Oryzias latipes: one gene and its partner. The protein of the gene in region 2 purifies or fractionates together with the protein of the main gene of each other region. This does not show direct contact. Links are inferred from orthologs where the notes say so. Each region holds a gene or a part of one and is shown on either strand. Other genes may lie near its edges. The genes, in order: dyrk1a and kiaa0232.

Evidence for each region.
Region 1: the proteins of kiaa0232 (region 2) and dyrk1a purify together in Homo sapiens (affinity purification with mass spectrometry; 3 studies listed by BioGRID and IntAct, with this or other methods). This does not show direct contact. The link is inferred for Oryzias latipes from reciprocal best matches to the Homo sapiens genes KIAA0232 and DYRK1A.

Annotation. Positions count from the first base shown.
Region 1 is NC_019871.2:12,318,525-12,330,873, reverse strand, and holds the start of dyrk1a (dual specificity tyrosine-phosphorylation-regulated kinase 1A), read right to left. Parts: upstream 5,780-12,349; 5' UTR 4,976-5,779; intron 4,394-4,975; exon of another isoform or gene 4,202-4,393; intron 3,274-4,201; 5' UTR 3,217-3,273; coding exon 3,207-3,216; intron 1,778-3,206; coding exon 1,581-1,777; intron 1,324-1,580; coding exon 1,231-1,323; intron 915-1,230; coding exon 726-914; intron 564-725; coding exon 416-563; intron 327-415; coding exon 40-326; intron 1-39. UniProt on the Homo sapiens protein: Dual-specificity kinase which possesses both serine/threonine and tyrosine kinase activities. Exhibits a substrate preference for proline at position P+1 and arginine at position P-3.
Region 2 is NC_019876.2:26,949,221-26,961,483, forward strand, and holds the start of kiaa0232 (uncharacterized protein KIAA0232 homolog), read right to left. Parts: upstream 7,930-12,263; 5' UTR 7,568-7,929; intron 4,511-7,567; 5' UTR 4,173-4,510; coding exon 3,936-4,172; intron 1,980-3,935; coding exon 1,839-1,979; intron 525-1,838; coding exon 455-524; intron 1-454.

The DNA of each region.
Region 1 (12,349 bases), on a different chromosome or scaffold from region 2:
ATAGACTGTATAGCAGATGAAATATATGATGGTAGATACCCTTTGTCCCAGTTGGCATGAACTGCCAAAGTCCACTATTTTGATGGCACTCCTCTTGGGGTTACAAAGGAGGATGTTCTCGGGCTTCAGGTCACAGTGGATGATGCTGAGCTCGGGGGTGGCCAGGAAGAGTAGTGCCGTGCATAGCTGCTGGGCAAACTTCCGGGTGAGATTGAGTGAGACGCCGCGGAAGTTGGTATTTCGAAGCAGGTCGTATAAATTATATGACAGCATTTCAAACACGAGGCAGAGATGGTTACGGAACATGAAGTGACGTTTCAGGTGGACTGCAAAGAAACAAAAATTGGACGCGTTAGTCGCTGACACTGCAAGCCGTTGGATTTGTTCTGTATGTGGGACATCAAAAGTAAATTACCAATATAGTATTTCATCTCCGTATCATGTTTGTTCATAAGCTCCAGAAGGCGCACTTCAATCTGGGCTTGATTAAGGAAAGCTTTCTTGTTCTTAATGATCTTAATGGCAACCCATTCTTGCTCTACTCGGTCATAAGCTTTCACAACCTGAGAATTGAACAAAACCAGTATTAAATATGTTAAAAGTATTATATCTGAAGCACATTTGTTACACTAAACATCAAGATTTAAAACCAAAAAAAGGAAGGTCAGAAAGCTGGAACCCCTTAGAAGTGGACAAATAACAGACTGTCAGTTTTAATTCCTCACCTGTCCGAATGATCCTTTTCCTATTAAGGAATCGATCTCATAGCGGTCCATCCACTTCTCCCCATTCTTGACGATGTAGTCATAGTTATCATCGTCATAGCCATCATTGAAAACCTTCCTCTCCTTTTTGTGACTGGAGTCTTCACCCTGACCCTGTTGGTGCCGCCGCTTCTTTTTTGCATAATAAACCTGAAAAAGAAAAAAAGAAAATTGAATGCATTTCAGAAAAGCACATGCAGAGATTTCTTCAGGAAATGTTAAATGTTCCTTTGGATTTTGCTCCAACAAATTAGGTTTTTCATGTATAAAATTCCTGTTTTTTTAAATGAATAATAATGTTTTTTTCTTATAAATTAAAAATATCTATCTTTATGAACAACAAATTCATAAAATAATAAAGACTACCAATTTAAAAAAAAAGAATGTTGAAATAGCAAACATCTTAAAACAAGGGGAAAACAAATGTCAAAGAATGATTTGAACTTTTACTAAAGCAAAGCCTCACCTCATTGATGTGTTTGTATGTTTTGATAAGGTCGATGGAGAGCTTCCTCAGGGGAGCTGAAGTTGGGTCACGAAAGCACTGGGGCATGTGCCTCTGAAATAAAAGTACAACAACATTTTACAAACAAACAAAAGAAACACAACTTTAGAAGTAAAAAGTTCCTCTTACAGGGTTTGTGTTTAAACTTCAAAGCTGTTAACACAATGTGACACAATTACACAGAAAGACATTTGACATGCAGCTACTCTGCCTAGTGATACTTGTTTAAAAAAAGGGAGCAAACTTTTGTGTGCAATTAAGTTTAGCTATTCCTGTAAATCCTAAAAGGGCAGTGGGAAGGGTGATTGTACCTGATTGGCAGTGAGCTGTGGTGTCTGGTCGCTGTACGGTAAAACCGTAACAGATTGGTCAGTGGTTGGCTGGTGGCGGTCACTGTACTGCTGGTGCGTATGGGGCATTGGAGCAGCCATCTGAAGACCAGCAGTGTGTAAAGAAAAAGAGGGCGCAAGCCGGACGGACGAAGGTTTGCATGCTGAAGTCTCTCCTCCTAAAAAGGAAATTAAAGTTCCCTTTAAAGTCATTGAACAGAGAAACATACAAAAGTGAAAAAGGAAAATAAAAGAGGTCATCAGAGATTTAACGCTACAAAGAAAGCCAGCAAGATGTATTATGTTATTTACAGGTAAAACAATATAATAAAGAAACATTATTTGTTGTTTAGATTTACAAAAAAAACTTCAGCTTAGTTTAAGATGAAAAGAAATTATCTATAGGAATTTATAAATGCAAATTAACAGCATTATTTACATTTGTGTTAATAATCAATCTCAAATGATGATAAACACCAACAAAAACAGCAAAATCTAGTAAATTAAAGAATTAAATGTCAGGTTTATACACAGTGCTATGTTAAACATGTACACGTTAAACAATGCAATCAAAGGACAACCCCAAAAAAATCAAAACACAGCAGAAATATGTCAACCTTTGTGAGGAAAAGGGGAAAAAACAGCCAGTTTAACAGTGAAAAGGGGTGAGAATACAGCATCTCCACACTGTACGGTGAATCATCCTTCATTTTAAGCCAGAAGGAATCAAAAAATTATTAAATAGCATGTTCAGCTATCAGCATCTCTCACCAGACAACACAATTCACCAGTGCTACACAGTAACCACTATTCAGAATCCCAGCAACAGCACCTAATTAGCATAGCCTATCACCACAGAGATACAGCGTGATTTGGCAAGCCCATCAACGCACAGACCAATCACAACGCAGTATGCAAATAGCCTACTTTTGTTGCCAGGGCAGAGCTGCTCCCATTTTCCAATGAGAAAACAAGAAATAAACAAGAAATAAAATTGAACTTTGGCACACTTAGACGTTGCTTTCAACACAAGAGCCTGACAGCAAAATAGCTGCACAGCCTAAAACCTGCACTTCATATGAGAGCATAAGAAAGCTGACCCAGCTTTAGAAAAGTAAAGAAATACCCGTCCACTGACAGAAATAAAAGGAGCTGTAAGATGAGCAGAGAGCAACACTATATTTGAGGTGCTATAAGGCGCTACGTATTTGACTTATTTTCTTATAAAATTTAAACACATAAGTGGGAGTCCTTTCACTTCTATTTTAGATATAGAGGTTATATTTAAACCTAAAAAAATTGGGGCTTTCTTTTATTTTTATTTGTAGAATTTCTAGTGCCCTTTAAGGCTCAAAAAGCAGCATTTTTTTTAACTGTACAAAAAGTGTGTTTATTTATTAATAAAGTAGCATAGCTATTTAAAAAATAAACTAAATAATCCTGATGGTCTCAATTATATGTTAGATCTTTATCTTCTAAAGGGAGACAAAAATTTGGAGAGGATAGATGCCAGATTGAATAAAACTGTAAGCGGAGGACAGAAGAAAGCCAAAAAATATTAAAGTCCCCCACCAAAGATGTGGTGGAGGAAAGTATACAGCAGCTAACCTGGATGCATCTTCTGCAAAATTTCATATCATCCTGGAAGGAGAGTCCAGCAGCAAACCACAACCCACTACAAGGAACAAAAAGACATTATTATAAGTTTACATTTTTGGTGGCTACTGAACTTTACTAGTAACTTGAGAAGAAGTGAATGACAGGACCGCTTGGGAGAGGGCCATCCAAAACTTTGCAAAGTCATCAGGGGTTAGCTGCATTTTAGGAATTCATATTTATAATAGGACAAAATCATCCATTGTGACTTTTAATTTTTAGAAATGATTACAATCAGTATGACCACCAAGTTCAATAGTAAAAAAAAAAAAAGCATCTAAATCTTCAAACTGAGCTCATCAGAAAATAGTTATGACACTAAATTAAATCAGGTTGGATATTTTTGTGGTTCCCTGAACTTATCAGGCAATAAACTATTTAAATTGTCACCTATATGGGAAGTTTTAAATACTTTTGAGAAGGAAAAAAGAAAGATGCATAAACAAAATCAAACACAGACACATTCTATTTACCTTTCTAAAATTAACAAAGAGCTGAAAGTTTGATTTTAGAACACTGATTAAACATTAAAGACAAATAAAATACTTTCTTAATTCAATGTGGACAAATAAATATAATTTTCTTAAACAAGTGAAGCCGATAAAGCATTTTGAAAGCAGTCCCGTCGCTGCTTCGGCGTCTTTTAAACGTCTTACTATTCTTTAGGTTCAGGACTAAGAGACTGAACAGTTCCTTCAGTAGCTGTGCTCATGATGCCATCAACGGGCTTAATAAAGCATGAATATAATAACAGTTAGCTTATATTCGGAGCGGTATAACATCACAAGTGATTGTTAAAGACCTATGGATCAAACCGGTGTGTCATCTTCTCACGCCCAACTGCTTAGATCCATTCCAAAGCGGAATCAGACGAAACCCATCTCTAAACAATTAAAAGCCCATCGTTAATCCAAACAGACGCTTTTCCCGAGAAATTCTTTACTTACAGATGATACGATAAATCTCGTCATGGCTGGAATTTGAGAGGCATGTTCAGAGTTAACGTCCGTTCTCTCTTTGTATCGCTAATGTAGGACTCCAAATCCCGGTGAGGATGACAAACGTTTATGGGCTTGCATTACAGTTAGCTGTCCGACTAGCTAACGTGCTCGTCGTTCCCCTGAAACTGCGGGATAGGCGAGCAGGTCTCTCACCACCAGCCCACCGTTAGCTAGTGACGCTGTGTGGAGCCAGCGGATTGTGGGGCCCATTCAAACTGGTTCGTCAACAAGTCAGCGTTAACCATTAGCCACGTTAGCCGAATAAGCTACCAAGCCAGGTTAGCCTCTGAGCACTGAAGCTCAAACCGCCCCCTTGTATTAATGTAATTACCCACCGCACTGACAGTAAGTCAAATCGGAGGCGGAACGTAACAGGGTCTCAATCATACAATGACAGTGTCTGATATAGCAAAGTTAGCAAAAACGTTAACACTGTGCAGACATGACTTCCATTGACTGCTACACATCATTTACAGCCGACATCAAGACTAAATCCGCCCAGCGTTAAAATCCGTCCACTGACCTACTGACTGGAGGCGAACGTTAACGCTGGCTTTACAGGAAAAAATGTTAGCTAGCCGCCACACCAGCTACCATCCTTGTCTACCGCGTCCATCATTGTTAACTATTCCCTCTGCAGAGTGAAAAAAATCCGCCGAAAGATGTAGTATCCACGCCATGAAACGATCATGCGCAACAGAACAGTTTGCGATTACTCACCTCTGATGGCACGATCTTCATTTAAAGTCCAATAACCTGTAAGATGAGGAAACTTATCCAGCTTGAGATTCTCCCCTCCCTGCACGGTTAGCGAGTAAATCCAATCTCTGTACTCAGATCGGCAAGCTCTAAAATAACCCGTCAGTCACATCTGGTATGCACTTCATGGCTCAAGCTTTAATGCGCAACATCCAAGGCCGAAATAACTTCAGCAAATGTTAATATTACCCGATGACAAGCAACATGCTAAGCAGCACGCATAAGTCAGTAGCTAACCTTAGCGAGCTGGCTAGCTGGATGACAAAATGAGCGCAGCTAACGTTAGCTACCTGCCCTGGTTGGCCTCAAGCTAACTATTCTAGCAACCGCTAAACAAACGTTATGCCAAATTCCGATTTAACGCTATCTTTACAAAATTCACATCGGTCGCTTCGACTAGTGCGACAATACAATTATATCCAGATCATGAAAACACAAACCATAAGCCGCGTCCTCTGATAATTTTGGTTAGGAATTTTGAGTCAATTTTCACAAAATGGCGCGCGGTCCAAACCTGCGCAGTGAACCGGCCCGGTGGACCAGAGACACGGACAACTGAGTTAGTGCGGCGCCGCCTAATTATTTCAGCTCAATTAAAACATCGGCCTCTTGACTTTCTTGATCCGATCCACTGTGCGCATTTCAACATCCAAAAACGTCAAACATATATCTTCTGACAGCATTATTCCGGCGGGAAGGGAGAACATTTGAAAAGACTGAGCAGAGGAAAAAAAAAACCTCCTGACAAAATGGCGATGCTCTAGCTTGTTCCCATGGCAACTGTCAATCAAAAAAAATGGAAGTACCCGGATGCACCAATGACGAATAAAATCTGAACTGACCAGAGTTCTACACATGTAGCTCGCTTGGTGAACCAGACAACATATTTTGTTAGATATTGTGTCTAGCCATGGCTTTATATATATATGTGAATTTTTCTTTGTATAGTCGTTTTTGTGCTGTTGCTGTGTCATACCCTGTTTGCTACCTCTTCAACCTCATATCTATCTATCTATCTATCTATCTATCTATCTATCTATCTATCTATCTATCTATCTATCTATCTATCTATCTATCTATCTATCTATCTATCTATCTATCTATCTATCTATCTATCTATGTATCTATCTATCTATCTATCTATCTATCTATCTATCTATCTATCTATCTATCTATCTATCTATCTATCTATCTATGTATCTATCTATCTATCTATCTATCTATCTATGTATCTATCTATCTATCTATCTATCTATCTATCTATCTATCTATCTATCTATCTATCTATCTATCTATCTATCTATCTATCTATCTATCTATCTATCTATCTATCTATCTATCTATCTATGTATCACAATTTTGTCAGAAATAGTCTACATTAATTTAGAAAATTTTAAAATATAAGGCTCTATTTTGTTATCTGTTTACAAATCACAATTGTATAAAACTAGTGATACCCATATAATTAAAGATTAATATCCTTTAAACTTTGAAAAGGTTTTAAAAAAACAACCTTATCCTTGTAAGTTTGAGTTATGCTGCAACAATAATCAAATGCTGCTTTTAAAAAGAAATTCCAGTTGCATGCAGTAGATTAGTACTGGCCACATTGCAGGAGATGTATGGGTGTTAACTTGTCACTGAACCAATTAATGCTGAATCAGTAGTTGGGTTAAGCATGTTCATTGTGTAAAAATTTGTGGTTGTAAAATTGTACAGTGCTAACAGTCCATGGTGAATTATTTTAAGGCCTTTTCATGCCCATATGCAAAAACTGGAATATAAATGTTAAAAAAAATTCTAACTTTTTTTTTAACGGATTTATAGTTTTTAATACTGTTAAATTTTAGACTTTAACCATCATGAAAGCCTGAGATGGAATATGATAAATTCTGCCTGTATTTCTCAGCTTTACTTGGTTAGACTTAAGTGAAATACCCTTGATTTTTATTACAGCTAGCAACCAAATCAGACAATAACAGCATTTCAGGGACACAAACTTCCTTGTTCATATTTTATATTGTGAAGCTAATTTGTAACTGACTTGTCGCAGAGAGGCGACTGGCATTGTTTCATAGTACAGTACACTTAACAATCAGATTGGTCAATCTATGCGCTACAGAGTCCAGAGCTCATGAACCCTGCTAATATTCAATTATTATTATTGTTATCTGTTGGTGCAAATTTTGATTGGTGTGTTGTGAAATGTGTGTTTAAATGACTGAAGATGCTTCTCAGCTGTCATGAGTCAGCTGAACTGGTGATTTGAGACCTTGTCCTAAGTGTACATTTAGGTTAAAGAAGATAGAACCAAACAAATGGAAAAGGGTCAGTAAATATGCAACATTCAGACTTAGCTAAATGCGGCTACATCAATGGTTATAAGCAAATTTGATACTAATTTCATTAATCCATTAATTTTCTGTCCATACAACTAAAAGTTTGATACAATAGTTTGTTACCTTTTTGTGTGTTGGACTGAAATAACCTTTATCCTGAGGGGCTGCTTACATTTATAAACAGCCACAAATTCAAGAGGAGAAACAATTACTTCTTTTAAGAATTCACTTTTTTCATACAAAGAAAATATAATTGATAGAGATATACTTGTTGCACATTTGAATTTGTGACTGTATTATCAGCAGTGAAGAAGGATTTTGGGACGTTGTAGGCTGCTGAATAAAAATATATTTAAAAAAAGACTTTTAAAAAATACTTTAAAATAAAAATGAAACTTTAAATGTTTTTCTAAAAAATGTCAAATTTTGTGCTTTACATTCCTTCTTTATCTTCTTAACTTTCTCTGCCCAGGTGTGTGCATGTTCTCAGAGCCTGACTGGTTTTACCTGCCTGTAAGACAACCTGTTGCATCTCTGGGGGACACTTCAGCATTAAACAGAGTTTTGCATACAAAAATGAATAAATAAATAAATAAATAAATAAATAAATAAATAAATAAATAAACTGGTTTATCTTTGTATTACTCCTAATATCTGCAACTTTTCCAGCCAATCAAAAGCAAAGTCTTGCAATACAGTAACTTCAACATTTCTTTTTTTGCTGGGTCAGTCCAGTTCATTAATCTTTTATTTATAAAATGTTTCACATTTAGAAGGATAAAATGTTTTAGTAAACTCATCGACGCGTTATAACATTTAGTAACTTTTTTTTGTATCAGAACCAATCATTTATGTGCAAATAAAAAACATTTCATGGGTCTCTGCAGCTTTATTGGATCAATATTATTTATGGTACATGAAACATATCACTCAATAGTCTGGTTGGAGTTGGATCTAGAGGAGAAATTGATACATGACAGGAAGATTCAATTCATTTCAATTTTATTTATTTAGCTCAATATTACAACAACAGTCATCTCAATGGGCTTCATACCGGTAATTGTATAATAAACATTAAATCATAAAGAAGATGAAGTCATACAATTCAATAGGTATTGGCTAAACTAAACTAAACAGACTAAACTAAACTGGGCATCCCTGTCCTTAGACCCTCCTTCTCGGTTTGTTATTAAGATGGTAGCTTAACAGATCAAAATGGACATCAAAGCAGTTTAGGTTCAAGAATAATTTTTGAAGCTTTGATTCCCAAGAAAGTTTCATTTACAGTTTGAAAGTTACCTGAGTTCAATATTTTATTTGTAAATAAAATCAGTCAAAGGCGGCTGAGAAGAATAAAAAATAATTCAACAGATCTGTGATTTTCAATTTGTCTGGGTGAAGTTCTGTAATACTGTATTTTTTCCCCCTAGATTCATATACTAACTGACTCAAATAGATCTATACGTAGAAGATCAATGCTCGCTTTAATGTTGTTTTGATTTTTCTTTTGACAAAAGATAACATTTACAATTGATGACTATCACAAATGGCTTATTCTGTTGCAGGACCTTGACATACCTGTCCAAACCACAGTTTTACATTATATCATGTTCTTGTAAATGAGCTAAGTTGGGTTAAACCGAAATAACACTCCATCATATCTCTAGGAATTTGGATCGTTGCCTGGCTGTGTGACAAAAGTAGAGATGAAAGCTACCTCTAACCTGCCCATCATTCACGCTTTTGACCATCTGGATGGAATCTGGGGGCCAGTCATAATCCTGCTCAAAACAATCAATGCAGGTAGAATACTTTTAACTAACAGCCAAAGAAAAGGAGTTGAAAAAGTGTCTGGGCAGGGCATCACCACATGGCTTCGTTGCTTATCAATAAAAAAAGGTCTAATTGTGGACGATGTACAAAAACCAAGTTAATGCCACTTAAAACTGCTGCCCTCTTTGTTATAGCAGCCATCCCATCTATCAGTGACTCCATTAAAAAACATTTCTGTTCATTACCAGCTGATTCACTTGCTAATTATTAAGACCCCAGATCAACCTTTACCTAAAATGTTCCCATAAGTGATCAGTTTTTTATATCTGTGAGCTGCAAAGGTTCAAGTCCCAGCTGGGGGACATGAAAAACACAACATCAATGGGGGACCTTTCTGTGTGGAGTTTGCATGTTCTCCCCGTGCATGCATGGGTTTTCTCCGGGATCTCCGGCTTCCTCCCACCGTCCAAAAACATGCTTCATAGGTTGATTGGCAACTCTAAATTGTCCACAGGTGTGAGTGTGAGAGTGAATGGATGTGTGATTGAGGATATTCTACCCTGCGACAGACTGGCGACCTGTCCAGGGCATCCCTTGCCTATACGCCCAAGTGGCTGGGATAGGCTCCGGCAACCCCGTGACCCCGAAAGGGAAAAATGGTCAAGAAGATGAATGAATGAATGAGCTGCAAAGGTGAACTTGTCTGCCTGGTTTAAGTGTTTGGCATCCAATGCTGATGCCTACTTTTAAGATTAGGATTTACTAGCTTCAAACTGTATGTATGTCAATGCAAAGTCTAATTTTGGGTGTTAGTGTGTGGGTATATAGCTGTCTTTAATTACTTTGTAAGGACCAGTCACCATTATGACATTATGGGGACACAGGCAGTTGTGAGGACATTTGATCTATCCCTTACAGGTTTGCCATCTGTTTGGAATTTTAGAGTCAGAATTGGATTATTGGTAGGGTTAAGGCAAAGGTTAAGCAGTCTTTTGTGATCGGTAATCTTAAAGTGCTTGTCGATAAACCTGAAGCATTGTGTTTATTACTGACATGAGAGGAGCCAGTGTGGATGCTCACTTGATTATATGACCCTTTTACAAACATTTATAGTCTTGTCAACAAGCTGGTCAGAAGTTTTTTATTTTTTGCATTTAAGGTAAATTTAATACGGGGGAAAGTGTAAATAGAGTTTAATTAAGATTGGGCTGCATAAATTATTTGAAATCAATGCTACATGGTAATTAAAAAGGCTGTGCCCACTTGGATGGTGTTTGTGTGTCAATGAGTTAGTACAAATATATTTCTAGGACAGTACAGATCATAGAGAATATAAACTCAGCTGCCACAGGTATACCTGTCCCACTGCTTGTTAATACAATATCCTAATCATCCGATCAGATGGCAGAAACTCAATGCATTTAGGCATGTAGACATGCTCAAAAGGATCTGCACCAGTTCAAACCGAGCATCAGAATGGAGAAGTAAGGTGATTTGAGTGACTTTTAACGTGGCATGGTCGTTGATGTCAGACGGGCTGGTCTGAGTATTTCAGGAACTCCTGATCCATTGGGTTTTTCACCCACAACCATCTCTAGGGTTTACAGAGAATGGTCCGAAAAAGAGAAAACATCCAGTGAATGGCAGTTCTGTGGGCAGAAATGCCTTGTTGATGTGTGATAACTCTTAATCTACAATATGAAGCCATTTGGATCCTGTTTTCTAAATCCCCCCCACCCCTCAATCTTTAGTCTAGGGGTGTTCAACTCCAGCTGTCATGCTAAAAATAATGGTGTAAAGAAAAGTTTTTGTTTTATTATTATTTTTTTTATCACCAATCCTTTAAGATGAAGTGCAACAAGTGCTAGTTTCTCCGAAACAGTTCCTCTCCTGCACACATCCATGCCTCTGTTGGTCAGACTGCAGGAAACACAGAGAAGCAGCATTTGTTGCACTTTAAAAACACTCTGCCATGGAATCACAATTACGTTAGTTAAAATGAACCAAATAATTACATTTATTGTAACAATGCCTAAAGATTTGATTTATAGCAGTGCAAACAATGAATTGTTGTCTGGTTGTTTGGCTAAAGTTATAGGCATTTCATAGGGTTGATCTGAGAGTTTTTAAGACAGAACCAGCAATTTTTAAGTCAGGTTAAAGCAGGAGAAGACACACTGGACAGTTGTTGGGATTCTTTCCCAGTGATCCCTGCCCTACCTGCTGCTGCTTACCTGTGTCAGGAGTGCTGCTATAAAAAGAAGCAGCGTGTGGAAAAGTATGTGGAAAAAAAGCAAAAAACGGTCTGGACTCCTGCTTTAGTAACAGATATTTCCTGATTGTATTCATCTGTGGTAACTGTGTTAAAACTCAATACTTTCTTTTCTTCTTTATTTTACATAAACAAAAAAACGAGTTAAAGTTGATATAATCAAGGAAATTGTCTTCTTGGTGAACTTTTCTTAACCTCCTGATGCTGATTTTTGGGTTCATATTGTTGGGATTATGTGAGTATGTTTCCGCTTCTAAAAGTCAAACAGGGAAGATGTCTGATCTTGCAATGGTTTTTTCTGACAAATAGAATGACTGAGTCATAGTAATATTTCTCAATAGAACTCTATGGGATTTTGGCTTCTTGGAGCCAGCGGGTACTTCCTGTTCGGAACGGCAGGGCGGAGGGGTTACTCTGTCCAGTTCTCATATGAAGTCTATGTTTAGGACCAAGCGTCCATAGTTAATGAATGGATAGTTAACACATTCATATCAGCTCTAATCAGTAAAATGCATATTGATCAATTACAGAATGAAAAATTGACATGGCAACAAAGGCCAAGATTTTTGACTTAAGAAACATTTTTTTTAGAAATATACCAAAAATAGAGGGATATTTCCTTATATTATTTACTTTTAATTAAAATGTAAGCAAATCACACCTGTGACCGTTCACATTTTTTCCCCTGTTGGTAACTAGTTAAGGTCAGGTTTAGGACCTATCTGAACCATTTTCTACTTCAAACTGTCGTTTAATAATTTTAATTACAAGTCTACATTTGATTTTTCAGACATAACCCAATGAGTAGCTAAATCAAGTGGAGAAAAGTAGTGTAACTTTGTAGTTATCATCGTTATGGCCCAACACAGACGATCACTGTCTTCCAGTGAGGGCTCCCTTTTTATTTCCAACACATCTCATTCTCAACCAGATCTTAGAGTTCCAAGGGAT
Region 2 (12,263 bases):
TTCATTATAAATTCACCTCTGAGTTGTGGGCGGGACTGTTGTCATGGAGTAAGCCTGCCCTTACTTCCCATCGTCCCTTTGTTTACACTCTCCAGCTATCTTACAGCCCCTCACACCCCCAATTGAACAATAACATTGCATCAAAAATGGCGAGCAATATTGAAGCTATCCAACCGTACAGTTTTAAGACAAATACCAGCTCAGACGAGGAAAAGGAAGACGTAGATGGATTTAGTCTGAGTTGGAGCAGGGAGGTTGTGACAACCGATTATTACATCTACGTCACAGCTACAAGCTTTTGCCTGATTCACAGCGATTTGAGTAAATAAATACTCAGAAAAAACATTTTAAGCTTAATTTTCCTAATATTTGTCCTCCATAAAAATCCCACAAGAACATGCAAAATTGGAGAGGTTCTTTCAGCATTTTTGTCAGAGCGCCACAGTTCTCAAACCTTTTTGCTTGTTCTGGATGTCCTTAAGTTTAGTACAGAGCTCTTCAACCAGACTCTCAATTCCAGAATTCTGCAAAGACAAAACGACATTAGATTTAAACAAAAAAACAAAAACAAATAATTCCTAATAGAGAAAATATCTTTAGATGAGTTTAGGCCTTTGAAAGGGCTGATCTATATTTAAACAAAATAATCTGTATGAAAGCAGTCTGCACGTTTTTGGCCTAGACACATATAGCAGTTAAAGGTGATAAAAAAACTGGCAAAGTAAGCAGCCGCACATAGGTCCGTTTAAGAATGCTCAGTAACGGCTGCGTTACATGTAGTACTGATACACATATACATATACAAAGCACACAAAAGCAGAATAATCACTTCCTTACTCTAGTCACTACAACACATTCTGTTAGCTCCCTACACTGAGAAGGAACTAATCTGAACAGAGCATTAGCAGATCTCTACAGTTAATATTTGGATTTGGCCTTTAGGTTTTTTCTGCTGGAAGCCCTTTCTGACTTAACCAGATTGCGGCCGTAACCCAAGATCGTCCCGTTCCGAAACTGGAGCAGCAGGCGGTGAATTTAAGAGCACGTGTGAGTGACTAATATAATCCAGCAATCTTTAATTGACAAAACCGCGAAATGTCAAAGTAAATGAGTGTTTCCTCTAAACAGCTTTTCCTTTTTTATAATGGTGCTAATGCTGATCAGCTGACAGCCTACAGGCTGCTGTGTGCTGATTGAAAACTAAAGAGCAGCAGCACTGCATAGCACTCCAGCAGATCCTTCCTCCTCCCTCAACTCAAAACCTGTAGGTCCAGTCCTGCCAGAGCACAGTTATCAGGACTATGAATGATCTGGAGTAGTCACGTTCCTTTAAGGGTTAATTGTTGAGAGCGTGGAACACCACTTCAGAAGATTTGAGCATTATCTGGTGTGACATGCGTGTCATTCTTCAAATATGAAGTATGAAAAAACAGCAGCTGCTTTTAAGACAGTTTGATGTTGTTTTAAACCCCTTGGGGTTTAACCATAAAATGTTGGGATCAAACCGAATGTTGACCCCAGAAAAAGACAAAAGGTAGAGTAATCCAGGCTTTTACCGATATACTTTGTTTTGTGTTCTTCCCTTTTACAATGCTTTGACTTAATGGTCTATTTGCTCTGATTGAGGCAATTAGGATCTGATTACATTAACAAGTCATTCCCTCAAATTCCTGACTTAATAAAAAAAAGCTTTTAAAAACCAGAAGAAAAGAAACGAGTCAAAGCCAAAATATTATGAAAAAACAGTAAAACTGAGAGAAAAAATTCTAAAGAAGCCGAACACTACGCAAGAGCATTATGTTAAGAGGTGCCAAGTTTACCAAACCAACAAATCTCACTTCATCAGATGCAGAGCGAAGGCATTGCACAGCAGCTTGCTTCTTCATTTCTTCCAGACTCAGGTCGGTTCCTCCTTTTTTCTTGCTCCTGCCCCATTTTTTCCCAGCTCCCTTCTCCCATCCCAGGAAGATGTCGTTTTCCTTTCAAAGAAAAGGCAAAGTCAAATATAAATGAATGTAAAAACTATTTTACAGATCAGAACTGGTTTGCAACAAAATTCAAGTTGAGGACTGCATTTCAAAATTGTAACTGCACAAAACAAAAAGAAAGTGGTTGGTGGTGCAATTTCCTTGGTGATTGAGAAAGATCTTATGTCTCTTTGCAGGGTCCAGACTCAGGTTATTCTGCAGGAAGCATCCCTGTGCAAAACTGAACATTTTCAGGGCACCAGAAAAAAATCACTTTCTTTCTTGCAAGAAGAATAAATCACACAAAGAAAGTTTTTCAAAAGCAAAATAATCTAAACTTGAAAAAACACTTCTTAGGGTTTGTTCAGACAGGAAAAGTCATTTTTGTCCAGATTGATTCTGTTTAATTTCGTCCGGATCAAGTCCCGAATTTTGCGTTTTGTCTGTATTCAGACTGGCATCAAGCGGCTCATTCAGACCAGAGCTTGCAAACAAAACCATGTGACTAAAGATCTCTTTAAAGATCCCACACTAAAGATCTCTTAGAACTTTAAATTTAGATTTGGAACGTCAGGTACAACACTTTTTACTTGTTACTTCGGTACGGCTGAGGCGTGCTGCAAGTTGGTTACTTGCAAGGAGACGTGCCGTGTGTACTTAAACTCAGAGGATGCTAGCAACTTAAGTAATGAGCAAATGTCGGGTATGGATGATAACTGTTAATGTTGAATAGATTGTGCAGAAAACAGTGAGAAGCTATGTGTGTCGAGTTCAAGTGTTTGTAACGAGCCTGAATACATATAATCTCATGTCAATGAGTTGATGTGTGTCAATGTTGTGGTGTTATGTTTTTAAAAGAATTGTTGAGGAAACTACAAGGTAGCCTTTAGGGTGACATCAAAGCATGTGAGAAGTGTTTTCAGCTGTTCAAATAAAAGTTCTAACAAATAAACAGTTGGACCTTTTTCCTGCTTGATAAAACAATGGTTGCTTTACATTTCTCAGCGACTTGTCCGTTGCTTCATTCCTACTCCAATCACGTTTGGGTTCAGTTGTTCTGCTCCGATGACGGATTCTATTCAGACTGAGGAATCACAGAGCGAACCAAAGCACAGTCCAATTGGAAACGAACCGAGACCACCTCCAAAGATGGGTCAGAGAGCGGTTCCTGGTCCCGGACCAGGGCCCACTTGGGCGTATTCAGACTGAAAATTTGTTCTGGATTATCGGGGGAATCTAACTCTAAATGTGTCCAGTCTGAATACACCCATGGTGACTAGATTTCTTTTACCATAATTTAAGATTTCTTGTTAAGACCATTTGTCATATCCCATTGGCAGAATTTTTTTTTTTGTGCTTATTTGAGGTAAATTTGCCAATGGAGTAAATGCTTTTGACTTATTTCTAAGGGCCCCGTTTTTGAGTGTGAAATCTGCAGTTAGTCAGTTCAGAGCTGTTTACAGTGATCTTTATAAAAACTGCAGACTAACCTGCTGCAGTTCTGTGCAGTTTGTTCCTCATACTGTCAGTATTTGTTGAGACCTAAAGTGTGGCAGGTTTGAAGCTTGAAGTCAGCAAACCGGTTCAACACTTGAAAATGTTTGGGTCCTTCAGAAAGCTCTAAGAAATTGCACTGGGTCTTTGGAAGAGTTGCACTTCAGCCTTTGAACACAATGTTCTCATCTGAATCGAGAGTGCAGTGTAAGCGAAGACTTGTGATAACTTCTATTGAAACTGAAACCTTTGTTTACACAGGAAAACTTCAGCAATAAAAAAAATTTCACAAGAGCGACGGCTTCTGCAACCCTGATTTCAAAAGCCTTTGTGCAACCACGCGTCACATTATCAGTGTCCCACACACCTTAGCTCTGATCCAGCTGTTTCAGTAAATATACATTAACCCAGCAGTGGAAAAAACAAAACTCTGTTTTTGCATTGTGACATATTTTTAAAGACTTTGACGCTCACCTGGTCCTGCAGGTCATAATCATAGCTGTCATGCAGGAGGAGGCTGAGAACGTAGCGGGTGTAAATCATAGCATCAATCCCACACTTCTCAAGCTCCTGGCCGAGCCAGCTCTGCACTGGACCCAGCGACTGGAGCAGGGACATCTCTGAAGGAGGCAGGGGGCCCACAAGAGGATAGGGGCAAGAGAAGTTCTCAGGAGGAGCAGGACCGTCTGAATCGGTGCTCACTGGACGCATGGGACCTCAGGTTTTGGCCATTGTCAGGCAGAGCAGCATTGTGACGGAGAGCGACGGTAGGGTGGCAGGTGAAGGAGGAAGGAGAAGGTAGAACTTTCCTGGAAGCGGGGAGGGGGCTCACTTCAGCAGGATGCACTGAAGGGGCTCTACATGGGGAGGCATGTAGGATCTTTTGTTTTTATTGCTTTTAGCAAAAAGAAAAAAAGGAAAGAAATTTCACTCGTGAGGCATGGCTTATGCTGCTGACAGATTCCAGCTGCAGAGGAAAACACAAGACGTGTTTAAGTCTCAGTCGGAGTGGTCCATGTTGGGACTCGGCCTTACTTCACCGGCATCAGCTGAAACAGAAGAAACAAGGAGTTTTTAAAGACTTTGTCAAAGTTGAGATAAAGTCCCACTTTAATCATCTTTTAAACTATTTTCAAAGTGTTCCCATTGGTCTTTAGATTATGACTATGCTGCTTTTAGCTAAAATTAAAAAAAAACTGTCATTTTCGAGAACATAGTTTCTGCAGAGCGGCAGCAGTACATTCGTAAATTACGAATGGAGGCTGCACCCTTTTGATTGGCTGGCCCTGTCGTCACTCAGCAGCAGCATTTTGATAACTACCCGCTGAAACCACGGTGAAGTTAGTTTTAGGTTGGATATTCGATGGACGTGTGCATGATATGGCGAAGATTTTACATCAAACCTAATACTAAATTACAATAAAGCATTTCCTCATGTTGTATTTATTCTAATTTTTCAATAGCTGTGTGACCATACCAACACCATACACAAATTTATTTTGCAATCACAGATGCTGAATATTTTATATGCATTTTTTAATTAAAATTTCAGAGGTTCACGTATGAATTCTGGCTTTTTTTTTTCAATAGCTCCCAAAATATGTGACCCAACTGTGTCCCGAATTGTGGCCCTGACACCCCCAACATCAGACACACCACTGTTTTGAAATTGTTGATGATAAATATTTTATATAAATTTTTGTATTAAAATTCTAGCAGTTTTAAAATGAATTTTGGCCATTGTGTTAATAGCTCCAAAACCATGTGACCCAAAAAGATGAAATGTATGCCGAATTGTGGCACTGGCATCCCAACAGACACTTGAAACAAAAAAAAAACATAAGAGCAGCAATCTCTGGCAAATAGCAGGAGAAAGGAAGCACAAAATAGTTTTGTTTTCTTGTCTCAAATATCACTCTTGACCAATGCACTGCACTCTCGTCCAATGGACTAATGGGATGCATTTGGACTCGTGGGGTCACACAGTTAGAGTAAATTGAAAAAATGGCCAGAATTCATATGGGAACCTCTGATAATTGAATATAAAAACTCATAAAATATTCTTCATCTAAAGCTGCAAAGAAAAAGTGGTGGGCATTATGTTGGGATGTCAGTGCCACAATTCAGCATAAGTTTCATTTTTTAGGGTCACATGGTTTGGAAGCTATTGAAAAAATGCCAGAATTAATATGCAAACCTCTGAAATTTTGATATTAAAAAATTTTCAGCATTAGGGTTGCACGATATGGGGAAAACTACCGATCTGCGATATTAGTGATCAATATTGCGACGACGATATAACTTGTGATTCATGAACAAATAGCAAAACAACCAAAAACATCATTTGCATTTCACTGCTACCGTTTCATTTAAATTAGAGGCCACGTAACCTAAATTACACTCCAAATGACCCTCGTCTACATAGGAGACGACCATCTAACATAAAAGGGCTCCGTCTGATTGGTCAAATGCATAAAGGGATTTATTTGATTTATTAAATACTTCAAGCTGCCATAAAATTGTTGATGCACATTTAAGTTTACCATTTATTGCAATTTTCACCTTCGTTTGTGATTAGCATATTGCACAGCTTGATATTGCGATAACAATAAATTTGCCATTTATTGTGCAGGCTTATTCACCATCTAAAATTGCAAAAATAAATGGGTGTGTCTGGTGTTGGTACAATTCGGCATACATTTGGAATCCTAAGGTCACATTGATTGGGAGCTACTGAACAAAATACCAGAATATTAACTTCAAACTTTTATTCTGTAGTCATAGCAAAATAAATAGGATCCTATGAACACAACTTGATGAACCTGTTTCATTGTAATCCATTTCTTTAAGCAAAACAGTGAGTCTAAGTTATGATCTAACATCACCCCATATCAGGCATTTGTTAATTTATTGACGGTCCCTAAGAGACACCGCTCTGGTTCCGCGCTGAATGTTTGTCGAAAATCCAACATAACTTCACCGCCGTCACCCGGTGAGGACGTCAAAGGGCGAGATAAGGAGCTCCAGTGTGCCATCATGACGTGTCAGCAATCCACACGGTTCTGTGGGACAGCAGCGAGTGCGTTAAACGCAGACGGTCAGGAGTTTATAGGTCTGCAATCTTGATAGAATAGTGGCTAAATATGGCTGACCAGTGTCTCCAAGCCAGCTGTTCGCGTGCGCATTAGCTCTGGTAGCTAATTTCTGCCTGAAGGTTTCCACACAACCCCTAAATGACCCAAGAATCCTTCCAACAGAAGCGGTCTTTTTGCCGTTAGATGGGAACACATGAGACTGGAGTGCTGTGGCGGGAATGTGCGAGTATTTTTTGCTGCGCATTGAAGTTTTGCGCAAAAAACGGACAGTTTACGGCAATAAATAAAACTGCTCCGAGTTTGAGGGAAAAGCCGCTAATAATACAACCTTAACTTTGGTGTGCAATTATAATGCCGAATTTCGTAAACGTCAAACGTAGTTCAGCGTCCGACAAACTAAAAGGATTTGCGTCACTGGCAGTCAAACGACAAGGTTAGCTTGACCACCGACCTTTAGCAGATGAGCTATGCTAGCTACATTAGCTTCCTAGCGCTATTCCTTTTCTGTCACTGTCCTCTTTATTTTAATCATTTTAATTAGCATGACGATAATTTTAGGCATTGGTCTCAGCTATCGCGTCATAATAACCCCATTTAATCCGGTTGTTTAGTAAGATAAATTTATCACGGGTTTTATAACGGCGACATACATAAACGCTATGACGGTTCTCCATAAAATAATTCGGAATAAACAAGTCAAGAGAACATATAATTCGCTTAAGTTTGTAGACACAAATGGAAACGCGGGAGATAAATATGGCAATGCCAAAATCCAAGAACTCTTTTAAAACAAATTCCAACCAGCTATAGCTAGCTAACGCTAGCCGTCACGTAGCTACGCTTGTTGTGATCAAGGGGGAGGAACGGCTTCCCGGTACCAGAGGACTGTCAGACGTTTTTCCCTGCGCCGTTTCGTCATAACTAAAAACACTAAGACTACTAAAAATTAAACACCAAAATGGCCAAGTGTGCGCGGAGACGGGAAGAAAGCCTGTTCGCCGGTTTACTTACATGCCGTGGGCTGAAGTCGAGCGAAACAGCGAAAGAGGAGCGGCTATCTCTCTCCCGCTGCAGTTCCGAGCTCGAGCTCTGGAATCCGCTGCGGTAGCATCGCGTATCATGGAGGACGCCGACAGAAATGGCGCTGTTTTCACATCCACCGTGTCTCCGACAGCAGCAGGAAAACCAGCCGCATTCGGGCTCCAGCCGACGAGAAGTCACCGACGGGCGGTGTGGACTAGCGAAAGCCACTCTGTCCGCCGAGAAAACCCAGTTTCCTTAAGAAACATTCCTCTGAATGCGACACCTTTCGCGTTTGTATCCAAGGCAACGGGGCGAAGCTCCGCCGTCCTGGGAGGGCTGGTTAGTTTCTTCCGCTGGAGTATTACATCACAAGTCCAAATAAGTAGTCCTTTTAAAATTCACACCCACGCTGAAATGAAACCAATACAGGGCAACTACAAAAATTAAAGTAAATAAAAATAAATTAATAATTCAGCTTGATTAATAAGAAAATAATCACAAAAGAAAAGGTAGGCTTTATAAAACTATAGAATTAATCCATCCAGCCCAAATATAAGTTCTTAATTTTAGATGTAATATTAATTAGCACAAAATGTCTGTACCCTTACTTGTACAACATTTGTCCACATATCAAAGTAAATAAAGTAAATCTATGTAATTTTTCCCTTACTTTCGTTTAATTTAAACAATAAATCATCAACATAAAAACTACATTTTACTTTGAAAGTCAAACTTTAAGTTTGTGAATAAACCTGTACTGTCATTGTAATGATAAATGAAACTGTTGGGTGGTTTTGCCTTGCTAATTTATAACAGTCAACAGCATCATTTTGGTTTTATTGTAGTAAATAGGCTGTAACTGATTCTATCTGGTGAGGATGCGCCAAACACATAAGCACACTAATGCGCCGTTTTTTAGTGTCCCATACAGCTACATTCCTGCAATGATAAATAAACACTATATAAATGCTTGTGGCCCTGAGACAAACTAGTGACCTGTCCTGGGTGTACTCCGCCTTCACCCAACAGGCTCCATTAACCCTGTGACCCCAAAAGGGATATGTGTGTTAAGAAAATGGATGGATGGACAAACACTTGTTTATATGTATATGTTTCTGTGTGTGTGTGTATGTATTTCTTGGAGCGAAATAAGTGTTTTCTGTCAAATTGGACCCTCCTCAGCAGATTTATCTTCATGTACAGAGATCTGCACCATGTCTCGCGTTCCTTTCTGGGACCTACACTTAATCCAGTTAATGGCCTCATTTTTTTCCTTGCATCTTATTTGTCCGTGAGCTCAGACAGAGCACCTTCATGCATTTTTTTAAGCATTCGCACATCTTGCCTTTTTGACTCCAATCTAACAGCCCCAGCCTCTCGTGTTCCTGTTCAGACTTTAACGTTGTAGTTTTTGATGCTGCTAATAGAAATGTTGTATTTAATGAGCTTCCAAAAGTCAAGAGCAGAAGTTTCGGTCTTGTAAATGAACCCAGCAACCTTCACCCCCTCCCTCAAAGCTGTGTGCACATGCACGTTTCATCTGCCTTCTCATCCTTGGGGGTCATGATCTGGGGACTAGGGTAAGTCCAAGCCTACAGACCAGCTGTTTGCACTACTCCACATTCTCCACATGGCAACTGTGTTGGCAGAGCTTGTGAACTTGAGGTGAGACTCAGGTGGCTTACTGAAATGCATTTCATACAACAACAGTCGTTCAAGAATTCTTAGGACCACTGAACACAAATACTGAGCCACTCATGATTCCCAACTGAAGCTAGCTCCTCAGACCCATCCACAAAATGACCCCTGAAATACATAATTTGGTTCTGCCTCACAGATTGTTGTCCTGGTAAGGTCTGACCAGAGTCTGACCAGAGTTTGACCGCCGCAACGTGCCCCAAAAAGTGACCTTTACGAGACTGCACCTCAGTTTGCTCGGCGCTTTGCTATCGGCAGGGTTCTCATTAACCAGAAGTCATCGTGCGGCAGATGGTACAGAACAATTAAACGAGGCCCGTTAATCTTCTCCCAGGAAGTGGCTTTGGGTGCGAGGCAGATGTTTCCTACAAAGATTCAGTTTATTTCACATCATTGGGAAATCCCAGTGCTGGCTGAGGGGCTTGTCGGCTGCTGCCCTGCACCAGGAGGATGGAGGCAGACGTCGGTGACGCTTGCAAGTAAATCACATGCAGTGCAGAGTCACTGTGACTTGTCGGTGTTAGTTAGCGGGTCATCATGTGATACTAACAGCTTTAACAGGTCCATACCAGAGCACGAGCCATCTGTTTTATGATATACATTTAAATTTTTTTGTGTTTATATCTGCTTCCTGTACACACAATCATGGCACGTACAATTTTAGGAGATGTTCCACTCTTCGGCTAAGAAGAAGAGGAGGAACATCTTCAAAGATTAAACCAAGTCCAGTTGACTTATTTTTATGGAATCTACCTGGATGAATTAGAATTCAATTAAATTGTATTTTTAGAGCCCAAAATCCCAACAACAGTCGTCTCAATGGGCTTCAATAACGGTAATTGTAAAGTAAACATCAAATCATGGATCATGAATACATATATTCAATAGGAGAATCCTAAACTGATCTAACTACACAGACTAAACTAAACTGGGCATCTCTGCCCTTAGACCACGTGTCAAACTCAAGGCCCGCGGGCCAAATGTGGCCCACCACTTCATTTTATGTGGCCTGTAAGTGCATAAAAGTTTTTGATTTCTTAGAATAAAAAATAAAAATTGGTGTGTATTTATTCATATCTAGGGGGAATCAGACTTGGCAACTATACATTAGGACTTAAACACTGTCAACGTAACTTAACATGACAGAATCAAATTTAAAATGATTCATAATAGATTAACAAGCAAACATATGTTTTTTATGCAACTGTAATTGTCACTGTAACCCTTGTGCTATCCTAGGCACTTTAACATTGGGAGTTGGGTCATCTAGACCCACTAGACAGTGCTCTGAACCTTTTTTCTTCAATGATTTGTGATCTTCACTGGTGTCCATGGATTACATGAAATCTTTCCACCTTTATCCACCTTTGTCATGGTAGGTAGAACACGTCAATATGAGGGTGGGGTCATCTAAGATAGCACAAGGGTTAGTTAACAACCGAAGCATTTATTAAGTAAACTGAACATATAAAAAATATTCAATTTTAAATTAAATATTTAGCTTGCTAACTAAATATTTAGTTTGTAAATGTAACATTTATAAATACACGAATTAAAAGGTGAAACTATGCATTTGAAAAATGAAACCTGTTGTTTTTCCTCCTAAAACCGGCTAAATAACCAAAAATATTGCCGTTGACATTTGACTGTGTAGCTTTACACATTTTGCACCCCATACAAACCACAGCTAACTGTGTGGTTACTTTGCTCAGAGATTGCTCTTAATACACACTTGTGTAACACACTTGTTGGATTAAATAGGTCAAGTCAGTATTAACTTAGTCAATAAGAGTGCAGCCAGCCTCCCCCTTGACACAACTCTAGCAGCCAGGAAGAGCTTAAAAACGATGGGATGCTCCGTCTGTTGTTTGGGGAAAAAGAAAGTTTTCATGGTTGTCATATTGATTGAAGTCATAGAGACAAGCAGCACGGAGGACAGGTCATGTGACCTCACAGACATGACTGGATCACACCCGCATGTCTTTCTATACTGCATTGTGGGCAGCCTAAGAGAAACTGATGTTAATGTGAGTGATCATGTGACAAACTTTGATTCTCATGACGATGCAATCACAGAGGCCCCCGCGCTGAGTGGGAGTGGTGCCACGCGAGCAGCAAACAGCAGCGGTCGTCACCTCCTGCTCACCTGACACACTTCTCGCAGCAACAATCCTTTTAGAGGTTATCTCTGGAAAAGGGCCGATGACAGCGCTGCACGTTAATCAAGGAGACCAGTCTGCATCAAAGGTCCCCCAGCCTTTATGACAGCAGCAGGACTGGTTTTTCCTTTGCTGATCTGTCTGCTGGACCCTGCATGCTTTCATTTTCACCATGGCAGCTGTCCAAATCTTTAAACACTCCACCAGCACAGAAAACTAGACTCTACGGGCAAATGTGAAGACTAAAAACACACTTTAAACCATCTTTGCATATCTGATTACCGGGACTTGACTTTGAGTTCTGAGGGCTCGCCTTATCATTATCACTGGTTGCTGCAGGCTTGCCACAACTTGTAGAGATATTTAATATGTATGCTTTTGTGGTGAGTCATGACATGAAATGCAGATTTAGTCAGCCGTTCCTTCTGTGACTCATGTTTCCTTCTAATCTGTTGCCACATACACACAAACACATTTAAATTTAGATGTATATTTTCCAAAGAATATATATACAAACAAACTGTAACATCTAGAAAATTTCAAAGAGAATCAAGAAATCAACTTTCAAGCATTTGAATCCATTTCTTTGCACTTCATTGAGGGAAGTATTTGAGCCGCTGGTAACCATTATGAGTATTACTGGTTCACAAAGATTAGTTTAGCCTTGTTTTTCACTGACCGCTTACTGTCTGGTCCGGTTTAGAATGGTCCAAGCAATTCCGGCAAGCGTTTCCACTCTACCTTGACCCGTCCTGGCGCATGCGAGGTGAAGGTAACGACAACAACAATGGCGGTCATCCAGAAGCTCCTTTTCACTCACCCGGGGA